2 linked regions of the Daphnia pulex genome follow. The protein of the gene in region 1 purifies or fractionates together with the protein of each later gene. This does not show direct contact. Links are inferred from orthologs where the notes say so. Each region holds a gene or a part of one and is shown on either strand. Other genes may lie near its edges.

Region 1 (3,927 bases):
TTAACCAGAAACAAAGAGGGGGTATGTTATTTTTTTTTTTTTTTTTCAACCAAATACTACGGCTGTATGGATGGGGTAGTGGGGTAGTAAATCAAATGAAAAAATCCTGTGAAAGCAATAGGTTTTGATTTAAATAAGCAGCTCCGATATATATATATATAAAATTTGATATTTAATAATCAATTTGATTGAAATTCAAAAGTAAAAAAAAAAAGTTAGAATTTATTATTTTTAACCGTACCTTCCGCGGAAATCGGCACCGCCACGGGGCCCTCCGCGGCGATCACCTCCGCGATCACCACCACCACCTCCTCCTCTGGGTCCATTCCTCTCTCTGGCTCTGCCAGAAGACATCTCCACCCTCACACGAGAACCACAAATCCTCCTACGAGAAGTCAATAATTAATTTTACATAATTAATTACCATTGTATGTAATTTGGTTTCTTACGATCCATCCATGGCTCTAACTGCATCTTCAGCATCTCTGGGATCCTCATACTCAACAAATGCAAAGCCAGGGGGATTTCGGGCAACCCAAACATTTTTCAAGGCTCCATATTTGCTGAATGAAGCTTCCAAGTCACCTCTGGCTGTGTTATTGCCCAGATTGCCAACATAGACTTTGCATTTCAAATCCCATTCACGATGACGCGACATTCTAAAGAGGAAATGAAAATTTTGATGTTGAAATCTGGGTTTGAAAATAACTATGCTCGATTAACCGCCATCTTGCTTGGCTAGCCCGACCAAAGGCATCACCAAAAACATAAAAAGCATCTCTAATGAAATGCACAGAAAAACAATTGCATACACAAAAATGAACTAACAAACAACAATAAAGAAGAATGTTGTGACTACCTTTCTTGTTCCGGAATTTTGAATGTATTTTCTTTAGCAAATTTGGTTTCAGTATCGTTTTCAACGAGATGCTAGATTAAGAGTAACCTGAAGCGGAGTGAAAACTGACTACGTCATAAAGCTGTCAACAAAATGGAAAATCAGCGCTGCCATGCGGCAACAAAATCAACAAAAACATTTTTGCAAAAGACAAAAAAGTATGATTTTAAGTTTGTATTTGGAATATTGTGCAATTTTTAATCAAGGATATTTTTATCAGATTTATATTAGAATTTTTTATTACAATTAGATCGTCTTTAGATGGCGTTGTAGACGAGGCAACAACAGATTGATTTTCGAAAAAAGTTCGTCTGCTAAGCCATATTTTTTTAGAAATCTTTTACAAACAAACTCGAGTTATTCATCCTTTGACGATTCTATTGAATCAAATTATTATTTTGATTTGAAGTTTTGAACTAATATTGGCATTCTACTTTAAAACTATAGTTGCTAATATAAATCCAATTATATACAAATAAAAGCGGTTCTTCATCCGTCACGTCGAAATACGATAGCACTATATCATTGCTTTGCCAAGTTTGAGGAAAATCTTCCCGAATGCTATTGATGTGTGTTCGATTTTGATTTTCTCAGAAGACAAGGCCTATGATGTAGATGCTCATTCTTCCATTTACACATTGTAATTCATAGATATTAAGACCAGTTAACTTTATTTGTGGATTTCCAATTCCACACCTTATCTTAAGTTTGGTTTCTACTCTGTGCATGACAGAATTTGAAATGGAAGAGATGAAAGATATTTTGGAAGGTTCTCAACTAGTGGATGATATTGATCCCGAAGAAGATGACGCAGATGGACTGTACAAAGATTTCAGTAATATGAGAGAGTTTCATGTATTAGATGAAATAGTTGAAAGCAACGCTAATGATGACGATGAGTGTAAGGAAAATTCAGAGAGTGATTTCAGCAGTTCCAATGAAGCAGACAGTGAAGAAGATTTTGATATACAACAAGATGAAATTGATGCTATGTTGGAAGAAGGTAACTTTACAAACTATATGACATTTGTTGTGGATATTTTTTACCTGTAACTTGTAACTTTTAAGGTTTACCAGAAGAAATGAAATCTAGGAAAAAGTTCAAAAAATCAGATGGTTCTTCCAAGCCATCTGGTAATGGGGATGCAAGTATGGCATATGAAGAAAAAGAAAAAATTGTTCTTGAAGGTAACACTTTCAGGTTATTCCTTAAAAACATTTAATTTAAAAAAGTTTTTTAATTTTTATTTTGTGTTTTTAAGAAAAGGGTAAGAACCATTTCGAAGTTTTGCCTGAAAATTGGGTCCAAGTTACACACAACAGTGGAATGCCTATCTACCTTCACAAACCTACACGGGTTTGCACCCTTGCTAAGCCTTACTTCCTTGGACCTGGAAGTGCCAGAGTAATTTTTAAATTAAACATTACTTTTTTGTTTCTATTTAAACTCCCGAGTTCCGATCTTTAGAAACATGCAGTGCCAATTAGCGCCGTACCTTGCCTACATTACCAAAGAGCCAAGGAGAAAGAAGAACAGAAATCCGAAGAGCTATTAGAGGCCTCAGCTAACACTGCAGCAGATGGTACTGCTCATGTTGCCCCTGATATCCCCTGTGCTCGGATCGAATCAGTCCAAGAGAATCAGGCAGCACATTCTCTCAATGGAGTTCAGCTGCGCGAATACTGCTCCAAACGATTTGATTTTAAAACCGTCCGCCTTATGCGATTTAAGTGAGTAATTTGCTTAAATCTTATTAATACCTACTCATTCATTCATCGTTAAAAAATTCATACAGAACATGGGCAGCTAGGAGAAAGCACACCAAACTGCGGAAACAACGACAGATTTACCCCCAATCTGGTCTTTCCTTGAATGAGGATAAGAAACAAGTGATTGGCTCAAGCCAAAGCCCTGTTGAGGATGACGATGCTAAATTGTCACAGACGGCTGAACTGGGTCGACCAACTTTACCTAAAGGGACCAAACTTATAACCTTCCCTATCGGACATTCCATTCCGGCAACACACAACGATCCGACCTCCCAAAGCGAAGGACAAGGTGCTGCTGGTGGAGCTAATGGGTAAGTAAACATTATATATTGAAGGCTTCAATTGTGATAACAATTTCTTGTTTGTAAATCTCACAGTGGATCGCGACGGGAATGGATTATGAATCCGGCAGGGAAAAGTTACGTTTGCATCCTCCATGAATACGTTCAACATGCCCTTAAGAAGCAACCTGCCTATACATTTAAAGAAATTGGTATATTCGACTGCCCATAATGCAACGATTTTTGTTTTCATTGTTTTATCGGGTAATTTTTGTTCGACAGAGAATGCAGCAACGCCTTATAGTGCTACGGTATTGATTAATGGAATGCAGTACGGTACTGGGGTCGGTTCGAGTAAGAAAGCCGCCAAGGCGGAAGCAGCGAAAGCGACACTAGAAGTTCTTATTCCACAGATGAAGGAAAAAATATTGGACGAGGCGGAACCAGGTCACAAGGGACCAAATCATCAGTCTGACTTAGATCTATCCGTACGTTGCATTTAATTTTGCTATTAGATGCATTGAATGGTGTTACTTACCGTTTATTGTAAAGCAGTTTTTCAACGAAATTCGAATAGAAGACCCTCGCGTTGCCGAACTGTGTGCAAAAACGAGCGAACCATCCCCTTACGCAATCCTCCTCACATGCCTTCAAAGGTGATTCAACAGTTTTTCTCTTTAGCGTATTGAACGATTTTCAATAATTATGAATGTTGCAGAAACTTTGGTTTAGGCGATAAGAACGTCAAGTACGAGCTCAAAACATTGAAACATCAGAAAAACGAAGTAATAATGACGGTTGGAAAGCATACAGTTCAAGTACCATGCAAGAATAAAAGAGATGGAAAGCAAAGAGCAGCCCAGGCCATATTGCAGGTGAATTGTAATCAACTTGAACATCAGTTTCAGATTTTTAAATTTTGCGATTTGTTTTTCTTCATCTGGGAGAAGGCGCTGCATCCTCACATTTCTAGTTGGG
Region 2 (3,927 bases), on another chromosome or scaffold:
TCAGTATTAGATATACTATCAATGGCCTCCTGCTTTTGACTGATTTCCACCTCCATTTTTTTCATTTTTGATTGCAGTGCAGTTTCAATTTGTCCCAGCTCATAGGTTCGCTGTAGCACTTGATCACGCTGATTCTTCATACGCATCTCTTGGCCTAAAAAATCGTGTATGGAAGCTCCTTTTGTTGTAATCTCAGAAGCAAGTTGACGCATTTCACGAACATCTTCCGCCTTGAATCACATCGGTGTCAATACTAAAACCTTGTAATGGTAATCTAATAAATTTACTTGACCACCAAATCCGTAAAGAGAAGGCTCGTTATTGTCACCTCCTTTACGAGCAAGCTGCAAGGCCTCGTAAAAAAAATTGGCCACGTTGAGAAGCTCTCTCACTGCTATATTGTCCGCTAGATACAAATAATCATAAAAAATTACTAGATCTATTACGTTTACATTTATCGTGAATCACTTACCTTGGTAAAGTCTTTTAGGATTTAGCTTTATTTGTAATTTGGTATTCTGAAAGAGGAAAGTTGTTATTGTATTAAATATATCACGGGCATTAAAAATTTTAATAATAATAAGTTTAAGAAAGCATTTTACCAGGAATTTTACAACGGATGTTACGAAAACTACGCGCTCCTGTTCTGTTTTTATGAGAAAATTAATTCCACTGTTGACATCCAACTGCTGGCAAAACCAATTCAATATCTCAGCTACTAATCCGAAATTAGTCGATCGGAAATTCTCGCGAGAAATTAAACGCGGGTAACCGAGTAAACACATTTTATCAATAAAATCTATAATTTTTAGAAATCATTATAAAAAAAAGAAGAAACATGTATCGTCTCAAAGATTTTACAGAAATCTTTATTTTACCTGTAATTTCTCGATACGACATTTTTTAAATTTTGTTGGGCTGCTTAAAAGGAATGAATAAGTCTTGAGGCGAAGTTTGTTTGAAAGCATGGCTATTAATGTCTCCATAGCAACTCTGTGTTTAGGGAATGACATGGTTATTATTTTATTCTAAAATTAACACCTACAATTTTTTATTGTTGACATATAAAATATTTTATTATTGAATATTTTCTCAAACATTGTATGATTGTAAATGATAATTTTTCAAAATGTAAGCGAATTTTCAAGATAATGATTCCAATGATGGGGTGTTTAGGGTTGATAGCAAACTGGTACCTCATTTTAATGGCGAAGGATTTCGGCTGTGAACGTGTCTTGGCCCTGTTCACGTGTTGTTGCTCTCGAAGCAAATGTGTTACCAGTAAATTTGTGACTTTTGGGCATGACGTTTTGACGAAAAAATTATTGAATCCACTGCTATTTGTTTCTCTAGTTTGATTTGTTTCATTTTGTTGACATTGTGCATTTTTGTTATGCCTGCTTCGGTGGCCGATCCGGTGGCTCTCGTACTGCGAACCGCTTTGAGCGGGAAAAAGGGTCCTTACTCGCATGAAACAGAAAATGCTCCAGAATTACTCGAGGATCGGTTGGCAGCATCTGCCAAGAGAGTATTGCTCTCATCCATTGAATATGAACCTGCTCCTAAACAACAACTACTTTCGCTGGACACATTGAAGAGCAAGTATACTGTGCTCAATTCCAGCCTTTCTGCTAAAATCACATCCCTAAATGGTATTTTTATCAGTTCCAAGTTACTTCTTTCCCTTATTAATAAGTTTGTTACATAAATTAATGATATTAAATGTAGGATCAAGTCCTGTGACAATTCAAGATTCGCTCCCAGCCCCCAAGGTCACCCTGTTTCGAAGTGAAGATGTGAAAGTTGGGTGGAAAGGCTCTGTACCAGTTGGAGCTGGCATGATAAATATGGGAAATACTTGTTATATGAATTCAACGTTACAAGTAAGTATTAAATCTTTTTTATGTACATACATTATTTAATGTTTTTTTTTTTTTAAATAATTTTAGGCACTTTTCCACGTCCCATCATTGTCTAACTGGCTGTCGAGTGTTAGACAATGTAAAAACTGTGATCCTAATGGAAGTCAGCTCTGTGTTGTGTGTATTATTGCTAAGACACTTCAGTCTACGCACGACAAATCAGGATCTGTTATCAAACCCATTTTGGTCTACAATAGACTAAAACTGATTTGCAAACATTTAGTTCATGGAAGGCAAGAAGATGCCCATGAATTTATGCGATACTTAATGGAAGCTATGGAAAAGGCGTATCTTCAGAGCGTCGGTGGAACTAAACTCGACTCGCGTAGTAAAGAGACTAACCCTCTCGGGCAGATATTTGGAGGCTACATACGAACTGAGGTTACTTGTTTGAAGTGTAAACACACATCAACCACCTTCCAACATTTTCAGGTATTTTTTTTTTTAAAAAGGTGATAGTTATTTCTAAAGCAAGTTAATATTTTTCTTTTCTTCTTTATATGTAGGACATCCCTTTGGATATTCAGCATGCCTCAACTCTAGATGATGCTTTGGGTCATTATTTCCGTCGCGAGAGGCTTGAAGGAGACAATGCTTATAAATGCGAAAAATGCAAGAGCAAGGTCCCTGCTACCAAAAAATTTTCAATTGAGCGCGCCCCGAATGTACTGTGCATCCAGTTGAAGCGTTTTGGACTCATGGGCGGGAAAATGTCCAAGCACATCCAGTTCAGTCGTAACCTGAACTTGAATCGCTTTCTTTTTCATCAGTCGTCGGGTGGACCCTGTGTTGCCTACAAGTTTGTATCGCTCATCAATCACATGGGTCCATCACAGCATTGCGGTCATTACACCGCGATTGCAGAGGCAAGCAATGGACAACTGTATCTCTTCGACGATTGCTCCGTCCGTCTAATCTCACTTAATGTCGCAATGAGTACGGGCGCATATGTATTGATCTACGAGAAAGTGCAATCGTCTCCTTCTACTCCTACTAATAGTATGGCTAAAATAAGTAACATCCAAGCTAACAGTCCAGCTCCTTCGCCTAAGCTTCCGATTCCACGACCGGCGATAATTTCAGAGCCCTCTCGTCCAAAAATCCAAATTGAACTAAAAAAGGCTGATCCTCTTCTAACAAAACCTCGATTGATTATGCGAAACGGGTCGGCACTATTCAAATCTTCTACGGCGCTCCCCCCTTCTCCTGTTGTTACTGTTGCTCCTGTTAACGTATCAGCCGTCAAGGAAGAACCACGCGTCGTCCCTGTAACTGCTCCAAAAACCTCCCCACTTAAAAATCCGACCGCCTTGGTGCCTTACGATGGCGAATCGTCGGATGAAGAACCAGAGAAAGAAACTGCCACAACCAATGCTACCACAGAAACCCATTCATCATCTGCTGTTTTGAAAGCTACCGAAACCAAGTGGCAAGTCAGCCCATCTCCAACTCCTATTGAGACACCAACTACAGTGTCAAGTAACGGTGGGCCCACAGTCGCCACTAAGTGGCAAGTATCAGATAACACTCAGCAGGACAACAGCAGCAGCAGTACCACTAGCAGCGGCAGTGTCAGTCAGAAATGGATCGTTCGATCATTGAGTGATACTGAATCAGAAAGAGCTAATCCAACACGTAGTGAACAGAAGGTTTACTACAGCGACACAGAGATGGATCCACCCTCTACTAAGGACACACCACCTTTAAGAAAACTGGGTAACAAGATTCGTCTCATTAGTGGGAAAATATTTGGACCTTCCACTAAGCAAGTCGACGCAAAACTGACAAACGAAACTTGTAAAAGTAAGGATGCAACCCTTCCGACTGAACCAGTCAAAGAAACGAAATCCGAGCCCGTCAAGGAGGAGCATTCCCTCATAACCAGCACTGACCCAGCAACGAATACACTGCCTGCTGACATGCCTGCTAAGTGCAGTAATGTAAAATGGGATGGAAGTCGCACTACTGATACAGTAAAGGAATTACTCCGCATGTCTCATAGTGG

The links.
Region 2: the proteins of microprocessor complex subunit DGCR8-like (region 1) and ubiquitin carboxyl-terminal hydrolase 36-like purify together in Homo sapiens (affinity purification with western blotting; 3 studies listed by BioGRID, with this or other methods). This does not show direct contact. The link is inferred for Daphnia pulex from reciprocal best matches to the Homo sapiens genes DGCR8 and USP36.

The regions. Positions count from the first base shown.
Region 1 is NC_060024.1:13,485,467-13,489,393, reverse strand, and holds the start of microprocessor complex subunit DGCR8-like, read left to right. Parts: upstream 1-1,210; 5' UTR 1,211-1,624; coding exon 1,625-1,901; intron 1,902-1,966; coding exon 1,967-2,086; intron 2,087-2,160; coding exon 2,161-2,303; intron 2,304-2,366; coding exon 2,367-2,629; intron 2,630-2,694; coding exon 2,695-2,979; intron 2,980-3,045; coding exon 3,046-3,161; intron 3,162-3,231; coding exon 3,232-3,437; intron 3,438-3,501; coding exon 3,502-3,605; intron 3,606-3,667; coding exon 3,668-3,824; intron 3,825-3,899; coding exon 3,900-3,927. Other genes in the region: RNA-binding protein 1-like, read right to left, coding at 242-385, 450-658.
Region 2 is NC_060018.1:5,362,560-5,366,486, forward strand, and holds the start of ubiquitin carboxyl-terminal hydrolase 36-like, read left to right. Parts: upstream 1-1,193; 5' UTR 1,194-1,393; coding exon 1,394-1,652; intron 1,653-1,728; coding exon 1,729-1,883; intron 1,884-1,949; coding exon 1,950-2,354; intron 2,355-2,428; coding exon 2,429-3,927. Other genes in the region: clusterin-associated protein 1-like, read right to left, coding at 1-230, 288-406, 473-518, 603-799, 879-900. UniProt on the Homo sapiens protein: Deubiquitinase essential for the regulation of nucleolar structure and function. Required for cell and organism viability.